Linked DNA regions of Saccharomyces cerevisiae S288C. The protein of the gene in region 1 purifies or fractionates together with the protein of each later gene. This does not show direct contact. Each region holds a gene or a part of one and is shown in the gene's direction. Other genes may lie near its edges. The genes, in order: IMP4, UTP10, PWP2 and UTP13.

Region 1 (3,184 bases):
AAACAACAAACAGCCAATAAAGCCAAAGCAGGCAGCAGTAAAGCAGCCACCATTACAAAAGGCCAATTTGCCTCCCACAACGGCAAAACAGAACGTTTTAACTCGGCCAATGACATCACCAGCTATCGCACAGGGTGCTCACGATAGATCCTTGGATAATCCTAATTCTACAAACAATGATGTGAAAAATGACGTTGCTCCAAACAGACAATTCTCCAAATCTACTACGTCAGGGTTGTTTTCAAATTTTGCAGACAAATATCAAAAAATGAAAAATGTGAACCATGTTGCTAATAAGGAAGAACCACAAACTATTATCACTGGTTTTGATACAAGCACTGTTATAACCAAGAAACCTTTACAATCAAGACGCTCAAGATCACCTTTCCAGCATATAGGAGACATGAACATGAACTGCATTGATAATGAGACTTCCAAGAGTACCAGTCCTACTCTTGAAAATATGGGAAGTAGAAAATCCTCTTTTCCTCAGAAGGAATCTTTATTCGGAAGGCCAAGGTCTTACAAGAATGACCAAAATGGTCAACTGTCACTTTCGAAAACATCCTCTAGAAAAGGAAAAAACAAGATATTTTTCAGCAGTGAAGATGAAGATTCCGATTGGGACAGCGTTTCGAATGATTCAGAATTCTACGCTGATGAAGATGATGAAGAGTACGATGATTATAATGAGGAAGAAGCAGATCAGTACTATAGAAGACAATGGGACAAGCTTTTATTTGCCAAAAATCAACAGAATCTTGACTCAACGAAATCATCTGTTTCATCAGCGAACACAATCAACTCAAACACATCCCATGATCCCGTACGAAAAAGTTTACTCAGTGGACTATTCCTTAGTGAGGCAAATAGCAACAGTAATAACCACAATACTGCACATAGTGAATACGCTTCTAAACACGTTTCGCCGACTCCTCAGTCCTCTCATAGTAATATCGGTCCTCAACCGCAGCAAAATCCACCGAGCGCTAATGGTATAAAACAACAAAAACCTTCTTTGAAAACAAGCAACGTGACAGCTCTAGCATCGCTATCTCCCCCGCAACCATCCAACAATGAGCGGTTATCGATGGATATACAAAAGGACTTCAAAACTGATAATGAGTCCAATCATTTATATGAATCTAATGCTCCGCTAACTGCTCAAACTATACTGCCCACCGCCTTATCTACTCACATGTTTTTGCCAAATAACATTCACCAACAACGAATGGCGATTGCCACTGGTAGTAATACGCGACATCGTTTTTCGAGGCGGCAGTCGATGGATATCCCATCCAAGAACAGGAATACTGGGTTTTTGAAGACCAGAATGGAGATCTCTGAGGAAGAAAAGATGGTACGTACAATATCACGGCTTGACAATACGAGTATTGCAAACAGTAATGGAAATGGTAATGATGACACCTCTAATCAGAGAACGGAAGCACTGGGGCGTAAGACGAGTAATGGAGGGCGAATATGATTACTAAGTTAAATAAATCAGATACAGTATTTAAAGTTCTTTCAAAAAAAGATAATGTCATATATTTTACTATCTACGCAGTGAAAGAGTTCCTTCTAATGACACACTATTCACTTCGGGTAACGGATATTGTGTACTGAAAAATATAAAAAATTTTATCCCGGAAATGCGATGAGATGAAAATGCATGAAGTAGCGTATATATTGATTGCATGAGGTTGGACTTGAAAGGGCATATATACTCGGTTTTATCATTGATTCAAGTGTTCCCATAAATAATAAAACAGTTAAATCGAAATGCTAAGAAGACAAGCCCGTGAAAGGAGAGAATATCTATACAGAAAAGCGCAAGAATTACAAGATTCTCAACTGCAACAAAAACGTCAAATAATTAAACAAGCGCTAGCTCAGGGGAAGCCATTGCCAAAGGAACTAGCAGAAGATGAGAGTTTACAAAAGGATTTCAGATATGACCAAAGTTTAAAGGAGAGCGAAGAAGCAGATGATCTACAGGTTGATGATGAATATGCTGCCACAAGTGGTATAATGGATCCAAGAATCATCGTCACAACATCTCGTGACCCAAGCACTCGTCTCTCGCAATTTGCCAAAGAAATTAAACTGCTATTTCCAAATGCTGTCAGGCTGAACAGAGGTAATTATGTGATGCCAAATCTAGTGGATGCTTGTAAAAAATCCGGTACTACAGATTTGGTGGTATTACATGAACATAGAGGTGTTCCAACTTCTTTGACCATATCACATTTTCCACATGGACCCACTGCACAGTTTAGTTTACACAATGTTGTTATGAGACATGATATTATAAATGCTGGTAACCAAAGCGAAGTGAATCCACATCTAATATTTGATAACTTTACTACCGCTTTAGGGAAAAGAGTAGTCTGTATTTTAAAGCACTTGTTCAATGCGGGGCCCAAAAAAGATTCCGAAAGAGTAATCACTTTTGCGAATAGGGGTGATTTCATTAGCGTTAGACAGCATGTATATGTGAGAACAAGAGAGGGAGTAGAGATTGCCGAAGTTGGTCCTAGATTTGAGATGAGGTTGTTTGAACTGAGGTTGGGAACTTTAGAAAATAAGGACGCTGATGTTGAGTGGCAGTTGAGAAGATTCATAAGGACTGCCAATAAAAAAGACTATTTGTGAATTTTTTTATAGATTTGTAAAGGTTAAAATAGAAGGCCGATGAGGCCTTATGTAAGTCTAATATGGTATTCTTAAAAAAAAAAAAAAAAAAAAAGCGTCTTAGAGGGAATATAAGAGAAAAGAAGAGATAGCATAACACATGATTTATTTTTATTTTTGCGTTTTTTTTTTTTCTTAATTGTTTATCAATGTATCTGTGAGAGTATCTACATAAAAAAAATAACCATATGAAGACATAAATTTAAAAGAACAAAACGAACGAAGGGAAGAGGTGCAGAAAGGAAATTTATGTATCACAACTATTAAATTCAGTTGAAAATCCACCATTTGAAACTTTTTTCTTAAGCACTTCACTGACTTTTTCAACTCTTAACTCATGTTCGGAGGATAACGTATTAGAAGAAGACACGTAAGAAGGATCTGTTGATAAAGGCATGGGCTTGCCTATTGCTGTATATGACGAAGATGTCGATAAAGGCGTCTGGGTTGCTAATTCGGGATTACTTGCCAAGTTTGCACTTGAACGCAA
Region 2 (7,673 bases), on another chromosome or scaffold:
AACAACAGATGATGAAGGTATTTCTTCTACTGCTGGAAACAAAGACGTACCAGTTGCCAAGCGTAGCAGATTACAAAATTTAAAAGGCAAGGCTAAAAAAGGCAGAATGCCTAGACTGAAGAAAAGACTAAAAACTGAAGCGAAAATTACGGTTCACATTGCAGACATTTTACAAAGACACCGGTTCATCCTACGCATGTGTAGAGCTCTTATGATGTATGGTGCTCCGACGCATAGGCTTGAAGAATATATGGTTATGACTTCTAGAGTCCTTGAAATAGATGGTCAGTTTTGTATCTTCCAGGTTGTATGATTGTTTCATTTGGTGATGCAACAACAAGAACTTCCGAAGTTCAATTGGTTAGGTGTACTCAAGGTCTAAACCTTTGGAAGCTGCATCAAGTTCATGCCGTTTACAAAAGAGTTGTCCATGATACCTTAGGTGCCGATGAAGGTAATGCTTTACTCGATCAAATTTTGGCTGACACGAATCTATATCCACCTTGGATGTGTGTTCTTTTATATGCATTTTGTTCCGCTATGGTCACTCCGTATGCCTTTGGTGGCGATTGGGTAAACCTGGCAATCTCATTTTTTATGGGGCTTTGTGTGGGGTCATTACAATTTATTCTTTCACAAAAGTCATACATGTATTCAAACGTCTTCGAAATTTCTGCATCTATTGTCGTTAGCTTCTGCGGTAGAGCTTTTGGCTCTATCCCTCGTTCTCACATCTGCTTTGGTGCAGTTACACAAGGCTCATTGGCATTAATCCTGCCAGGTTATATTATTCTGTGTGGTGCACTAGAACTGCAAAGTCGAAGCCTAGTTGCTGGCGCGGTCCGTATGTTCTACGCCATTATTTATTCTTTGTTTTTGGGTTTTGGCATAACATTGGGCTCAGCTTTGTTTGGATGGATGTATCACAATGCCACTAACGAAATTTCATGTCCTCAATTAATTTCTCCGTGGTTCAGGTTCCTCTTCGTTCCAGCGTTTACCATTAGTATCTCGTTATTAAATCAAGCACACATCTCACAACTGCCAGTTATGGTCTTCATTTCTTGCACCGGTTATGTCGTAACATATTGGGCCGGTAAGCATTTTGCGAATTCGACAGAGTTTACTGCCGCCTTAGCTGCATTTGTCATAGGTGTTTTAGGTAATCTATATTCCAGAATTTGGAAAGGTTTAGCGGTATCAGCTATGCTTCCCGCAATCTTCGTTCAAGTGCCATCTGGTATTGCTTCACAAAATTCGTTGTTGTCTGGGTTGCAAAGTGCAAATACAATTGTTAATGCTAATGAAACCATTACGACAAGCACCTCCGATCCATCGTCCTCAATGTCATTTGGTATGACAATGATTCAAGTTTGTGTCGGTATTTCTGTGGGACTATTTGCTTCTTCACTCTTTGTCTACCCCTTTGGTAAAAAGAAAACTGGTCTTTTCAGTTTATAAGCTCTCACAAGGTCCACTTCGTTAGAAACTTGTTAACCAATGGACCAAGTGTTGCCATTGGGTCATTCTTCAGTATCAAAGAAGACTTTGACCCACTAAGAAAAATTTCAAAAGTAAATTATAAATATAGCATTAAGTACAAATAACATATCAGCTTATGAATCCTTTTTTTCAATTTTATGGTTTCATAGCCAATAATCATAACATACATAGATTAATAATATTCAAGTCACATGACTTTTTTTTTTTTCTTTTTTCTTTCTGCGTTAAGCAAAGAAAAAAATTTTCAGTTAGCGATGAGCTAGATATTTTCGAAGGTGTAACAAATACTTTCTTTATTACCTTTCAGAATCAGACTTATCTAACTGGCCACCAAAGTACGAATAACTTTGAAAATGTCTTCGTTGAGTGACCAATTAGCTCAAGTTGCTTCCAACAATGCTACTGTTGCGTTGGATAGAAAGAGAAGACAAAAACTTCATTCTGCTTCTTTGATTTATAACTCAAAGACGGCTGCAACACAAGATTACGATTTCATTTTTGAAAACGCTAGTAAGGCTCTTGAAGAATTGAGCCAAATTGAGCCAAAATTTGCCATTTTCTCAAGAACACTCTTTTCAGAGTCTTCCATTTCTCTTGATAGAAATGTCCAAACAAAAGAAGAAATTAAAGATTTGGATAATGCTATCAATGCTTACTTGCTATTGGCTTCTTCTAAATGGTATTTAGCACCTACACTACATGCAACAGAATGGTTGGTTCGTCGTTTTCAAATACATGTTAAAAACACAGAGATGCTGCTTTTGTCCACTCTCAACTACTACCAAACACCTGTCTTTAAGAGAATTCTCAGCATTATTAAGTTGCCCCCTTTGTTTAATTGTTTGTCGAATTTTGTTAGAAGTGAAAAGCCCCCAACGGCGCTAACCATGATAAAGCTCTTTAATGACATGGATTTTCTGAAACTTTATACCAGTTATTTGGATCAATGTATTAAGCATAATGCAACGTATACTAACCAGCTTTTATTTACAACATGCTGCTTTATTAACGTTGTTGCTTTCAATTCAAACAACGATGAAAAACTGAATCAGCTTGTTCCAATCTTACTTGAAATATCTGCTAAACTTTTAGCCTCTAAATCAAAGGATTGTCAAATAGCTGCACATACCATATTAGTTGTATTTGCTACAGCTTTGCCTTTAAAGAAAACAATTATCTTAGCTGCCATGGAAACCATTCTTTCAAACTTAGATGCTAAAGAGGCAAAACATTCAGCACTCCTCACGATTTGTAAGCTGTTCCAAACATTAAAAGGACAAGGTAACGTAGATCAGCTACCTTCCAAAATTTTCAAGTTATTTGATAGCAAGTTCGACACTGTGTCTATACTAACCTTCTTAGATAAGGAAGACAAACCAGTTTGTGATAAATTCATTACTTCCTATACAAGATCCATAGCAAGGTATGATCGGTCCAAATTGAACATTATTCTTAGCCTACTAAAAAAAATAAGACTAGAAAGATACGAAGTTAGGTTGATAATCACTGATTTGATTTACCTTTCCGAAATTTTAGAGGACAAGTCACAATTAGTAGAACTATTCGAATATTTTATCTCCATAAATGAAGATTTGGTGTTAAAATGTTTGAAATCATTGGGACTGACAGGCGAACTCTTCGAAATCAGGCTTACTACATCTTTGTTCACTAATGCCGATGTTAACACCGACATTGTAAAGCAGTTAAGCGACCCCGTGGAAACTACTAAAAAGGATACCGCTTCATTTCAAACATTCTTGGATAAGCATTCAGAATTGATAAACACAACGAATGTGTCCATGCTAACAGAAACTGGAGAAAGATACAAAAAGGTTTTATCTTTATTCACTGAAGCTATTGGTAAAGGCTATAAAGCAAGTTCCTTCTTGACTTCATTTTTCACTACTTTAGAATCAAGAATAACGTTTTTGTTAAGAGTAACTATATCTCCAGCCGCTCCAACCGCGCTAAAGCTAATATCTTTAAACAATATTGCAAAATATATTAATAGTATTGAAAAGGAAGTTAATATTTTTACTTTAGTTCCATGCTTGATTTGCGCTTTGCGAGATGCTTCTATAAAAGTTAGGACTGGCGTGAAGAAGATTCTTTCCTTGATTGCTAAAAGACCATCCACTAAGCACTACTTTTTGTCTGATAAACTTTACGGAGAGAACGTTACCATTCCTATGTTAAATCCCAAAGATAGTGAGGCATGGTTATCAGGATTTTTGAATGAGTACGTTACTGAGAATTATGACATATCCAGAATTTTAACGCCAAAGAGAAATGAAAAAGTCTTTTTGATGTTTTGGGCTAATCAAGCCCTACTAATACCTTCTCCGTATGCCAAGACAGTGTTGTTGGATAACCTGAACAAGAGTCCGACTTATGCATCTTCTTATTCCTCCCTATTTGAGGAATTTATTTCCCACTACTTAGAAAACAGATCTAGTTGGGAAAAGAGTTGTATTGCTAATAAAACAAACTTTGAGCATTTTGAGCGCTCTTTAGTTAATTTGGTATCACCAAAAGAAAAGCAGTCATTCATGATCGATTTTGTTCTCAGTGCTCTTAACTCAGATTATGAGCAGTTAGCTAACATAGCTGCCGAGAGGCTTATCAGCATATTCGCTTCATTAAATAATGCTCAAAAACTAAAAATCGTCCAAAATATCGTGGATTCTTCGAGTAACGTAGAATCATCGTACGATACAGTCGGTGTACTACAATCATTGCCGTTAGATTCCGATATTTTTGTATCCATACTAAATCAAAACAGTATCAGTAACGAAATGGATCAGACAGACTTTTCTAAAAGAAGAAGAAGACGTTCATCAACAAGTAAAAACGCATTTTTGAAAGAGGAGGTTTCGCAACTGGCGGAATTGCACCTGAGAAAGTTGACGATTATTTTGGAAGCACTTGATAAAGTCAGAAATGTTGGATCCGAAAAGCTTTTGTTCACTTTACTTTCCTTATTATCAGATCTGGAAACTTTGGATCAAGACGGTGGATTACCGGTTTTATATGCGCAAGAAACTTTGATTTCTTGTACGCTGAACACTATCACATACTTGAAGGAACATGGCTGTACAGAACTAACCAACGTAAGGGCAGATATATTGGTATCCGCTATTAGAAATTCTGCATCTCCGCAAGTCCAAAACAAACTATTACTTGTAATTGGATCTCTTGCTACTTTAAGTTCGGAAGTTATTTTGCATTCTGTAATGCCTATCTTTACTTTTATGGGAGCCCATAGTATTCGTCAAGATGATGAATTCACAACTAAAGTTGTTGAGCGTACGATACTAACTGTTGTCCCTGCCTTGATCAAGAATAGCAAAGGAAATGAAAAAGAGGAAATGGAGTTCCTTTTGTTGAGCTTCACAACCGCTTTGCAACATGTTCCAAGACATAGGAGGGTTAAATTATTTTCTACGTTAATCAAAACACTTGATCCAGTAAAGGCACTGGGCTCGTTCCTTTTCTTGATTGCACAACAGTATTCTTCAGCTTTAGTCAACTTTAAAATTGGCGAGGCAAGAATATTAATTGAGTTTATTAAGGCCCTACTCGTTGATCTACATGTCAATGAGGAATTATCAGGTTTGAATGACTTACTCGATATCATCAAATTGTTGACATCATCAAAGAGCTCCTCGGAAAAGAAGAAATCACTAGAATCCCGTGTCTTGTTTTCAAATGGTGTCTTGAATTTTTCGGAAAGTGAATTTTTGACATTTATGAACAATACCTTTGAGTTTATCAATAAAATAACCGAGGAAACAGATCAAGATTATTACGATGTGAGGAGAAATTTAAGACTAAAGGTATATTCTGTTTTGTTAGATGAAACAAGCGATAAAAAGTTAATTAGAAACATCAGGGAAGAATTTGGAACCCTTTTAGAAGGTGTTCTTTTTTTCATTAATTCTGTAGAATTAACCTTTTCATGTATAACTTCCCAAGAAAATGAGGAAGCTTCCGACTCTGAAACATCATTATCAGATCACACGACTGAAATAAAGGAGATTCTATTCAAGGTGCTTGGCAATGTGTTACAAATTCTACCAGTTGACGAGTTTGTTAATGCGGTATTACCCTTACTCAGTACATCCACTAATGAAGATATTAGATACCACCTAACGTTGGTAATAGGGTCCAAATTCGAGTTAGAAGGCTCTGAAGCTATTCCTATAGTTAACAATGTGATGAAGGTTTTGCTCGACAGAATGCCTTTGGAATCTAAATCTGTTGTTATTTCTCAAGTAATATTGAACACGATGACGGCTTTAGTGAGCAAATATGGTAAGAAGCTTGAGGGGTCCATATTAACTCAAGCCCTCACCCTTGCTACTGAAAAAGTTAGTTCTGATATGACAGAGGTCAAGATATCTTCGTTGGCATTGATAACTAACTGTGTTCAAGTTTTAGGAGTCAAGTCAATTGCGTTCTATCCAAAAATAGTCCCACCTTCTATTAAATTATTTGATGCTTCATTGGCAGATAGTAGTAACCCATTAAAAGAGCAGTTGCAAGTTGCTATACTGTTGCTGTTCGCCGGTCTAATCAAAAGGATACCAAGTTTCTTGATGTCAAATATTTTGGATGTTTTGCATGTTATTTATTTTTCCCGTGAAGTTGACAGCAGCATTAGGCTGTCAGTAATTTCATTGATAATTGAGAATATAGATTTGAAGGAAGTTTTGAAAGTTTTATTCAGAATTTGGTCCACTGAAATAGCAACGTCCAATGATACAGTTGCTGTTAGTCTATTTTTGAGTACATTAGAATCCACTGTTGAAAATATTGATAAAAAATCCGCAACCTCACAATCGCCAATATTTTTTAAGTTACTATTATCTTTATTCGAATTTAGATCCATTTCCAGTTTCGATAATAATACAATTAGTAGGATAGAGGCATCCGTTCACGAAATTTCCAACTCTTACGTCCTGAAGATGAATGACAAAGTATTTAGACCGCTATTTGTTATATTAGTAAGATGGGCGTTTGACGGTGAAGGCGTTACAAATGCAGGTATCACTGAAACAGAAAGACTGTTGGCATTTTTCAAATTTTTCAACAAGCTTCAAGAAAATTTGAGAGGTATAATTACTTCCTATTTCACGTATTTGTTAGAACCTGTTGATATGTTGTTAAAAAGATTCATTAGCAAGGACATGGAAAACGTTAATTTAAGACGTTTGGTAATCAACTCTCTAACCTCTTCGCTAAAGTTTGATAGAGACGAATACTGGAAATCAACTTCCAGATTCGAGTTAATTTCTGTATCCTTGGTCAATCAACTATCTAATATAGAAAACTCTATTGGGAAGTACCTGGTCAAGGCAATTGGCGCTCTGGCTTCTAACAATAGTGGCGTTGATGAGCATAACCAAATTTTGAATAAACTAATCGTTGAACACATGAAAGCTTCCTGTTCCTCCAATGAAAAATTATGGGCTATTAGAGCCATGAAGTTGATATACTCAAAGATAGGTGAAAGTTGGTTAGTTCTATTGCCACAGCTCGTTCCCGTCATCGCTGAGTTATTGGAAGATGATGATGAAGAGATCGAACGTGAAGTCAGGACCGGTTTGGTCAAGGTTGTTGAAAACGTTTTAGGGGAACCTTTTGATAGGTATTTAGATTAGAAAAAAAAGGTGAAGTATTATGTAAATTTTTGTAAAGTAAAACACTATGCTGTTGAACGAAATCTTTCATTGAAAATATTGTTATTCATTCGTGATAGCTGCCCCTTTCTGAGTTTGAACTTAATATTTCAATTACGCTACTTCAAGTTTCAATGAGATATTATTCTGTCATCTTTCTCGTCGTTCCTAGTGATTAACGTTACTAAAATTACTGATCCTAAATAGCGGGCGAACAGAGTGAAAATTTTCTTATCTTCGCTTATCTGCGCTTATCAATCCTAATCAGTGAAAAATAAGATATAGGCTTGATAATAAGGTAGTTTGAAAGAGAACATATTGCAAGCGGTTGAAGCTATAATACTAGATATACGAATATCATTTCGGGTATTTGTACTGTGCTCTACAATTCTACTGGTAATATTATGGCATCGCAGGCTACAACTCTTCGAGGCTATAACATTAGAAAACGAGATAATGTATTTGAACCAAAATCAAGTGAAAACCTCA
Region 3 (5,017 bases), on another chromosome or scaffold:
CGATGTGCTTTTTATTTTTGTTTGTTTTATTCTCCTATAGAGTAAGGAGACCTTATATTGTTTTTCTCTTGGTAGAAAGTTGACGCGCGAAGAAAAACATAAAAAAAACTGACAAGATACTACTATTATTAACCATATACACGGAAATACCCACAGAGTATACAAACACACATATATATATATATATATATATAATTTTAAAGATAAATTAGAAGTGTTCCCTTTCTCTTTTCTCAGGACCGGTCGTATCCCTCCGGTAGTTCATCAACCTCTACAACAGGGATCTGTACTGAACCTACCGCTCCCTGTGCCAGCTCTAGACGATATTGCAATTTGGATCTGATAGCTACATGCTCTGCCGTTGAGGTGTACCGCAGTCCTTGCTGGCACATTTGAATAGCCTGTGTATATTCACCCAGTTTGATCAGCGCCATGGCTTTGTTGCTGTACCCGACCGGGTTCTGCGGTTGAGCAGTAATTAGTTGGTCATAACAGTGCACAGCCTCGCGATACAGGCCCTGTTTGAACAAAGAATTGCCCTGTTCCTTCTGCTTTTCAAATTGGCTCATGCTCTTTACCGTTGCTCTCTCTTTCGCAGTGCTGAAAAGAAAAAACCGTTCAAGAAAATTGCGTCTTGTGCAGTCATATACGCTGGGATATATATATATATAGATATATATACATATATATAGGAATATGTAACAAGAAAAAAAAAAGAGAGAGGAAAGAAAAGCTCAATGGATGACGATCACGAACAGTTGGTCGAAGAACTGGAGGCCGTCGAGGCCATCTATCCGGATCTTCTCTCCAAGAAGCAGGAAGACGGAAGCATCATCGTTGTGAAAGTGCCGCAGCATGAATACATGACACTGCAGATCTCCTTCCCGACACACTACCCCTCCGAGGAGGCTCCTAATGTCATCGAAGTTGGTGTCTGCACTTCTTTGGCTAAGCGCGATCTCTACGATACCAAGTACCTTCAGCATTTGTTCCAGGAAGTGATGGACTCTGTTTTCCACCGCGGATCTGTCTGTCTATTTGACTTCCTCACAGAACTCGACGGTGTCTTGTACGTTGAACCAGAGGAGGAGACAGAACCGGTCCAGCAGAGTGACATTCCCACAGACCCCTTCGAGGGCTGGACCGCGTCGGACCCCATTACTGATAGAGGCTCGACTTTCATGGCCTTTGCAGCACATGTTACCTCCGAGGAACAAGCGTTTGCCATGCTAGACCTACTGAAGACCGACTCCAAGATGCGTAAGGCAAACCATGTCATGAGTGCATGGCGAATCAAGCAGGATGGCTCTGCGGCAACATATCAAGATTCCGATGATGACGGTGAAACGGCCGCCGGCTCCAGAATGCTGCACCTCATCACCATCATGGATGTGTGGAACGTCATCGTTGTGGTGGCCCGTTGGTTCGGCGGTGCCCACATAGGTCCCGACCGGTTTAAACACATCAATTCTACGGCAAGAGAAGCTGTTGTCAGGGCCGGCTTCGACTCGTAATCATTATGATTATGTCAAGCACCTGTAACCTTGATCACATGCGACGGGAGTTCTTTTTGAAATTTTTTGGAAAAATTTTGCGATGAGCTGAAAGATGAAAAAAAAAAAAGTTTCGAGTATAGTTCTAGGTATGTACAATAACTAGTATAATATCAATAATAGTAATAATAGTATCGTTTTCAACAGGTAGACAGGAGAGCAGACCGCAGATTGAACCGCATCCCAATGAAATCCGATTTCAAGTTCTCTAACCTTTTAGGTACGGTCTACAGGCAAGGTAACATCACCTTTTCCGATGATGGCAAGCAACTACTCTCACCGGTGGGGAATAGGGTCAGCGTGTTTGACTTAATCAACAACAAATCGTTCACGTTTGAATACGAGCATCGCAAAAATATTGCTGCCATTGATCTGAACAAACAAGGCACATTGCTGATTTCTATTGACGAGGACGGTCGCGCCATCCTTGTCAATTTCAAAGCCCGTAACGTGCTTCACCATTTCAACTTCAAAGAAAAATGCTCCGCTGTGAAGTTCAGCCCTGATGGGAGACTCTTTGCATTAGCCTCAGGCAGGTTTTTACAGATTTGGAAGACTCCAGATGTTAATAAAGACAGACAGTTTGCTCCCTTCGTCCGCCATAGGGTGCATGCGGGACACTTTCAAGACATAACGTCTTTGACGTGGTCACAAGATTCCAGATTTATCCTTACGACTTCCAAAGACTTAAGCGCAAAAATATGGTCCGTAGATTCAGAGGAAAAGAACCTTGCGGCGACAACATTTAATGGGCACAGAGACTACGTTATGGGTGCGTTCTTCAGTCATGATCAGGAAAAAATCTACACTGTAAGCAAAGACGGTGCTGTCTTTGTCTGGGAATTTACCAAGAGGCCATCCGATGACGACGACAATGAAAGTGAAGACGACGACAAGCAAGAAGAAGTAGATATTTCGAAATACAGCTGGAGAATCACAAAGAAACATTTTTTTTACGCAAACCAAGCCAAAGTAAAGTGTGTCACCTTCCATCCAGCAACAAGGCTTTTAGCTGTCGGATTTACTAGTGGGGAATTCCGTCTTTACGATTTGCCTGATTTCACTTTGATTCAACAGCTTTCTATGGGGCAAAACCCAGTCAACACCGTTAGCGTCAACCAAACCGGCGAATGGCTGGCGTTTGGTTCCAGCAAACTGGGCCAATTACTAGTTTACGAATGGCAATCGGAATCGTATATCTTGAAGCAGCAGGGCCATTTCGATTCCACAAATAGTCTTGCATACTCTCCGGATGGTTCACGTGTAGTGACAGCATCCGAAGATGGGAAAATCAAAGTTTGGGACATTACATCAGGGTTTTGTTTGGCCACTTTTGAAGAACACACCTCTTCAGTTACTGCTGTACAGTTTGCGAAAAGGGGTCAGGTCATGTTCTCATCATCGTTAGATGGTACGGTGAGAGCGTGGGACTTAATCAGGTATCGTAATTTTAGAACATTCACTGGTACTGAAAGAATCCAATTCAATTGTTTAGCGGTGGATCCATCAGGTGAAGTGGTTTGTGCCGGGTCCCTGGACAATTTTGACATTCATGTTTGGTCCGTGCAAACTGGTCAATTATTAGATGCTTTGTCCGGACATGAAGGCCCTGTTTCGTGTCTTTCATTTAGTCAAGAGAACAGTGTCTTAGCTTCTGCATCATGGGATAAAACAATTAGAATCTGGTCCATATTTGGTAGAAGCCAACAAGTAGAACCTATAGAAGTTTATTCCGATGTTTTAGCCTTATCAATGAGACCAGATGGTAAAGAAGTTGCAGTATCTACCTTAAAGGGTCAAATATCCATTTTCAACATAGAAGATGCCAAGCAGGTGGGCAACATTGACTGTAGAAAGGATATAATATCTGGTAGGTTTAATCAAGATAGGTTCACTGCCAAAAATTCTGAACGATCCAAATTTTTTACTACAATACATTACAGTTTTGATGGTATGGCTATTGTGGCTGGTGGTAATAATAACTCCATTTGTCTATATGATGTTCCAAATGAAGTCTTGTTAAAAAGATTCATTGTGTCCAGAAACATGGCTTTGAATGGTACTCTCGAATTTTTAAACAGTAAGAAAATGACTGAAGCAGGTTCATTAGATTTGATTGACGATGCAGGCGAAAATTCAGATTTGGAGGATCGTATTGATAATTCTTTACCAGGGTCTCAAAGAGGTGGCGACCTGTCCACAAGAAAAATGAGACCAGAGGTTAGAGTTACTTCGGTGCAATTCTCCCCAACGGCGAATGCATTTGCCGCTGCTTCAACGGAAGGTTTATTGATATATTCCACCAATGACACGATATTATTTGATCCCTTTGATCTGGATGTGGACGTCACCCCCCATTCTACTGTAGAGGCGCTACGAGAAAAGCAGTTTTTAAATGCATTAGTAATGGCGTTCAGGTTAAATGAAGAATATTTGATCAATAAAGTCTATGAAGCCATACCTATTAAGGAAATCCCCTTGGTTGCAAGTAATATTCCTGCAATATATTTACCGAGGATTCTGAAGTTCATCGGTGATTTTGCCATTGAATCCCAACACATTGAGTTTAACCTAATTTGGATCAAAGCTCTATTATCTGCGAGCGGTGGTTACATAAATGAACACAAATATCTCTTCTCGACGGCTATGAGGTCGATACAAAGATTTATTGTTAGAGTGGCTAAGGAAGTAGTCAATACCACTACTGATAACAAATACACCTATAGATTTTTGGTATCAACTGATGGGTCCATGGAAGATGGCGCGGCTGATGATGACGAGGTTCTATTAAAAGATGACGCAGATGAAGATAACGAAGAGAACGAAGAGAACGATGTAGTCATGGAATCTGACGACGAGGAAGGATGGATTGGTTTCAATGGGAAGGATAACAAATTACCCTTGTCTAATGAAAATGATTCCAGTGATGAAGAAGAAAATGAGAAAGAGCTTCCTTGAAAAATATTCACTGTCCTCTATTTATGCACATTCACATCATGTATTCCCCAAGTATAGAACTATATAAAGCATTACATTTGTATTTAATATCAACAAAAAAAAATATCATCGCCAATATCGATATACATCATGATGAGAGCGCCTAATATAAACTGAGGCTACCATTACGGGAGTCGTCCTTTGACTGACGAGGCTATTTTCCTTATATATAAGGCATCATCGCTTCAGTAAAAAAAAAAATAGGAAGGGAAAAAATGAAGAATTGATGGGATGAGGAAAAAATTTGACACAAATTTATCGACTACCGTTTCATACTATCATCGGGAGAACAATTACACTAAGCCTTATAAAATTATTGATTCATCAAAAAAGAAGATAACTAAATAACAATGCCTATGAACAATTTTCTAGATGAATTCAATTTATTTGATTCAATCATTACCATGATGAAGAACGACCCATGTTGCGTCGAGGATTATGAGCCAATCGTCGAAAACCTGAACCGT
Region 4 (4,857 bases), on another chromosome or scaffold:
CGACGATGATTCCAGCGTGACAAATGTGTTCATAGACATCGATGATTTAGATCCAGACTCTTTTTACTTTCATTACGACAGCGATGGATCTTCCTCTTTGATAAGTTCTAACTCAGACAAAGAAAATTCTGATGGATCCAAAGATTGCAAACATGATCTCTTAGAGACTGTTGTGTACGTTGATGACGAATCCACAGATGAAGATGATAACCTACCGCCCCCAAGTTCAAGGTCAAAAAACATTGGCTCAAAAGCAAAGGAAATCGTAAGTTCAAATGTTGTTGGATTACGTCCACCAAAATTGGGTACTTGGGAGACGGACAACAAACCTTTTAGTATTATTGATGGTCTGTCTACTAAATCATTATACGCCTTAATCCAAGAACATCAACAGCTTCGCGAGCAACATCAAAGGGCTCAAACCCCAGATGTTAAAAGAGAGGGAAGCTCTAATGGCAATAACGGTGACGAATTGACACTCAATGAGCTGCTAAACATGAGTGAATTGGAGGATGATTCACCATCCCACACAGACGATATGGAGAACAATTACAATGATGCAATTAATAGCAAAAGCACAAATGGCCATGCTGCAGATTGGTATGAAGTTCCTAAGGTTCCATTATCTGCATTTAGAAATAAGGGTATTAATGCCTATGAAGAAGATGAGTACATGATACCAGCAAATTCTAACAGAAAAGTTCCCATTGGCTATATTGGTAATGAAAGAACAAGAAAGAAGATTGATAAGATGAAAGAGCTACAACGGAAAAAAACTGAAAAAAAAAGGCAGTTAAAGAAAAAAAAGAAGCTTCTTAAAATAAGAAAGCAAAGACAAAAGGCAATAAAGGAGCAAGAAACTATGAATTTACAATTGGGAATCAATGGCCATGAGATCATCGGTAACAATAACAGCCATAGCGACATAAATACCGGTACCGATTTTACAACCAATGAAAATACCCCTATGAATGAACTTCCCTCTCACGCACCTGAAGATGCGTCATTAATACCTCATAATTCTGATCTTGCCGTGGACAGCAATACAAGGAAAAATTCAACAAAAAGTGTTGGTTTAGATGAAATTCATGAGATTTTGGGCAAAGATGAAAATGACTTACTGTCTGTAGGTGATATTAACGGTTATGATGCACAAGAAGGTCATGTGATCGAAGATACTGACGCCGATATCCTAGCATCGTTAACCGCTCCTGTGCAATTCGACAATACATTAAGCCATGAAAATAGTAATTCCATGTGGAGAAGAAGGCAAAGTATGGTGGAAGCAGCGGCTGAAAATCTTCGTTTCACTAAAAATGGTTTATTTAGTGAGAGTGCATTGGCAGATATCGAAGGAATTATGGGCAATGATGTTAACCATTCATTCGAATTCAATGACGTCTTACAATGAGCTATTTTGCATTTTTTTATGGTTACTACAATCAAATCACCTTTCGTTTACAATATCATCATCAGTATGTGACTTTGCCTTATTCTACTCTGAATTTTGCTTTATCGTTGGTTGAAAAGAATTACATGTTATTTTTTTACTTATATATGCATATTTTTATAGAAAAACACAATCAATATTTTTTTTACTGGTATAATCCGTCCAATCAGACGTATAAAAGTAAATAAGCCTCAAGCAACCCCATTTGATGGATTGCCTTACTCTTCGACTCTAGTTGAGATGATAACCTCATCCACTCTTCTGGCGATTAAGATGGAGCTTCTTAATATATCCGTGTAAAGCGACTGAAAATTTTCTGAAAAATTCAGCTCATCGCTCTCAGATATAATAGCGGTATGGCATTAAAGGTGTGAACCAACAACATAGTACTCTCAACGGTAGTAAGCCATACTACGTACAATATGGATCTGAAAACCTCATATAAAGGTATATCGTTAAACCCTATTTATGCAGGAAGCAGTGCTGTTGCCACTGTTTCAGAAAATGGTAAAATACTAGCTACTCCGGTGCTTGACGAAATCAACATAATCGATTTAACCCCAGGCTCCAGAAAAATTTTGCACAAGATTTCTAATGAAGACGAGCAAGAAATTACTGCACTGAAATTAACTCCTGATGGTCAATATCTCACGTATGTTTCACAAGCTCAGCTTTTAAAAATCTTTCACCTTAAGACCGGGAAAGTTGTCAGATCAATGAAAATCTCTTCTCCATCGTACATTCTCGACGCAGATTCCACTTCAACGCTTCTCGCAGTCGGAGGGACAGATGGTAGTATAATTGTTGTGGATATTGAAAATGGTTACATTACTCATTCGTTCAAAGGTCATGGTGGTACAATTTCCAGTTTGAAGTTTTATGGACAATTGAATAGTAAAATATGGTTATTAGCATCCGGTGACACCAATGGTATGGTAAAGGTTTGGGATCTTGTTAAAAGGAAGTGCTTGCACACATTACAAGAGCACACATCTGCTGTGAGAGGGTTGGATATCATTGAGGTACCAGATAATGATGAGCCAAGCCTAAATTTACTTTCCGGTGGTAGAGACGATATCATCAATCTCTGGGATTTCAATATGAAAAAGAAATGTAAATTGTTGAAAACACTTCCAGTAAATCAACAGGTAGAGTCATGCGGATTCCTAAAGGATGGTGACGGTAAACGCATAATTTATACAGCCGGCGGTGATGCTATCTTTCAGTTAATTGACTCTGAATCTGGTAGCGTGCTTAAAAGAACCAATAAACCTATAGAAGAGTTATTCATTATTGGTGTACTTCCAATATTGAGCAATTCACAGATGTTTTTAGTATTGTCTGACCAGACATTACAACTAATTAACGTTGAAGAAGACTTAAAGAATGATGAAGACACAATACAGGTCACTTCGAGCATTGCTGGTAATCATGGTATTATTGCTGACATGAGGTATGTTGGCCCAGAGCTGAATAAATTAGCTTTAGCTACCAATTCTCCATCGCTTAGGATAATACCCGTCCCCGATTTATCAGGCCCAGAAGCTTCGCTGCCTTTGGATGTCGAAATTTATGAAGGTCATGAAGATTTGCTAAATTCATTGGATGCTACTGAGGATGGCCTGTGGATCGCAACCGCCTCTAAAGATAATACGGCTATTGTTTGGAGATACAATGAGAACAGCTGCAAGTTTGATATTTATGCCAAGTATATTGGTCATTCAGCTGCCGTAACTGCTGTTGGATTGCCAAATATAGTTTCAAAGGGATATCCTGAATTTTTATTGACAGCATCGAATGATTTAACAATTAAGAAATGGATAATTCCAAAGCCAACTGCTAGTATGGATGTTCAAATCATCAAGGTATCCGAATATACTCGTCATGCCCATGAAAAGGATATCAATGCTTTGTCAGTTTCTCCTAACGATTCTATTTTTGCAACAGCATCATACGACAAGACCTGTAAGATCTGGAACCTAGAAAATGGTGAATTGGAAGCCACGTTGGCCAACCACAAGCGTGGACTATGGGATGTATCATTTTGCCAATATGATAAATTATTGGCAACTTCTTCAGGTGATAAAACAGTCAAGATATGGTCATTGGATACATTCAGCGTTATGAAAACATTGGAAGGTCATACCAATGCGGTTCAAAGATGTTCGTTTATTAATAAGCAAAAACAACTGATCAGTTGTGGTGCTGATGGCTTGATCAAAATATGGGATTGTTCTAGCGGTGAATGTCTGAAGACTTTGGATGGTCATAATAATAGATTATGGGCTTTAAGTACTATGAATGATGGTGATATGATCGTAAGTGCTGATGCAGATGGTGTTTTTCAGTTTTGGAAAGATTGTACGGAACAAGAAATAGAAGAAGAACAAGAAAAAGCTAAATTACAAGTCGAACAAGAACAATCGCTTCAAAATTATATGAGCAAAGGTGATTGGACAAATGCATTTTTGTTAGCAATGACTTTAGATCACCCAATGAGGTTGTTTAATGTTTTGAAAAGAGCTTTGGGCGAATCAAGGTCTAGACAAGATACCGAAGAGGGCAAAATTGAAGTCATTTTCAATGAAGAATTGGACCAAGCCATCTCTATCCTAAATGATGAACAGTTAATTTTGTTAATGAAACGATGCAGAGATTGGAATACAAATGCAAAAACACATACCATAGCGCAAAGAACAATAAGATGTATTTTGATGCATCATAACATAGCAAAATTGAGTGAGATACCCGGAATGGTAAAGATAGTTGATGCAATAATTCCATACACGCAAAGGCATTTCACAAGGGTTGATAACTTAGTTGAACAAAGTTACATATTAGACTACGCGCTAGTGGAAATGGATAAGCTATTCTAGGCAGTAAGTCCAAGATATTGAGCCTTTAAAAGCAAGGCAATAGCAACATATTATTTTGTAAACTAGATATATAAAGACAAAATGCATTGATGAAGCGGAAAGCTTAAAATAATTCGATATATAATTAGGTGCCTTTACGGGCATTGAAAACTTCTTTGCGCGAAGAGCTCATCACTAAAAATTTGCAAAAAACGAAGAGCGAAAACTTTCATATATTGTAGTAATATATACAAGAATTTAAACTGCCCACTTGAAATAGCACGGAAAGAACTAGCCATAATATATTATACAGGATGTCGGCAGGTGATATATCAGCCATAAATATCAAGTCTGTCAAAAAAAACAGAAGGAGGAAGAAGAGAAGAACAGCTGATGTTTCATCATCAGATTCTTCATCATCGGATCCATCATCAGAAAGTGAAAAGGAGGAAATCCAAAATGGGGCCATCGAAGAACACGTTGGAGAAAATGGTAAAAGTGATCATGTTTTCTCAAAAGGTAATGACGAAGACAAACAAGAGGACATTGCAA

Evidence for each region.
Region 2: the proteins of IMP4 (region 1) and UTP10 purify together in Saccharomyces cerevisiae (affinity purification with mass spectrometry; 5 studies listed by BioGRID). This does not show direct contact.
Region 3: the proteins of IMP4 (region 1) and PWP2 purify together in Saccharomyces cerevisiae (affinity purification with mass spectrometry; 7 studies listed by BioGRID). This does not show direct contact.
Region 4: the proteins of IMP4 (region 1) and UTP13 purify together in Saccharomyces cerevisiae (affinity purification with mass spectrometry; 3 studies listed by BioGRID). This does not show direct contact.

The regions. Positions count from the first base shown.
Region 1 is NC_001146.8:483,825-487,008, forward strand, and holds IMP4 (snoRNA-binding rRNA-processing protein IMP4), read left to right. Parts: upstream 1-1,782; coding exon 1,783-2,655; downstream 2,656-3,184. Other genes in the region: MKS1 (Mks1p), read left to right, coding at 1-1,486; MLF3 (Mlf3p), read right to left, coding at 2,942-3,184. UniProt on the Saccharomyces cerevisiae protein: Required for the early cleavages at sites A0, A1 and A2 during 18S ribosomal pre-RNA processing.
Region 2 is NC_001142.9:211,493-219,165, reverse strand, and holds UTP10 (snoRNA-binding rRNA-processing protein UTP10), read left to right. Parts: upstream 1-1,856; coding exon 1,857-7,166; downstream 7,167-7,673. Other genes in the region: YJL107C (uncharacterized protein), read left to right, coding at 1-313; pheromone-regulated protein PRM10, read left to right, coding at 310-1,461; GZF3 (Gzf3p), read left to right, coding at 7,589-7,673. UniProt on the Saccharomyces cerevisiae protein: Involved in nucleolar processing of pre-18S ribosomal RNA. Required for optimal pre-ribosomal RNA transcription by RNA polymerase I together with a subset of U3 proteins required for transcription (t-UTPs). Involved in ribosome biosynthesis.
Region 3 is NC_001135.5:219,951-224,967, reverse strand, and holds PWP2 (snoRNA-binding rRNA-processing protein PWP2), read left to right. Parts: upstream 1-1,739; coding exon 1,740-4,511; downstream 4,512-5,017. Other genes in the region: TAH1 (Tah1p), read right to left, coding at 234-569; YIH1 (Yih1p), read left to right, coding at 738-1,514; CTR86 (Ctr86p), read left to right, coding at 4,901-5,017. UniProt on the Saccharomyces cerevisiae protein: Required for bud-site selection and cell separation. Also involved in nucleolar processing of pre-18S ribosomal RNA.
Region 4 is NC_001144.5:578,787-583,643, reverse strand, and holds UTP13 (U3 snoRNA-associated protein UTP13), read left to right. Parts: upstream 1-1,872; coding exon 1,873-4,326; downstream 4,327-4,857. Other genes in the region: IFH1 (Ifh1p), read left to right, coding at 1-1,411; RSA3 (Rsa3p), read left to right, coding at 4,620-4,857. UniProt on the Saccharomyces cerevisiae protein: Involved in nucleolar processing of pre-18S ribosomal RNA.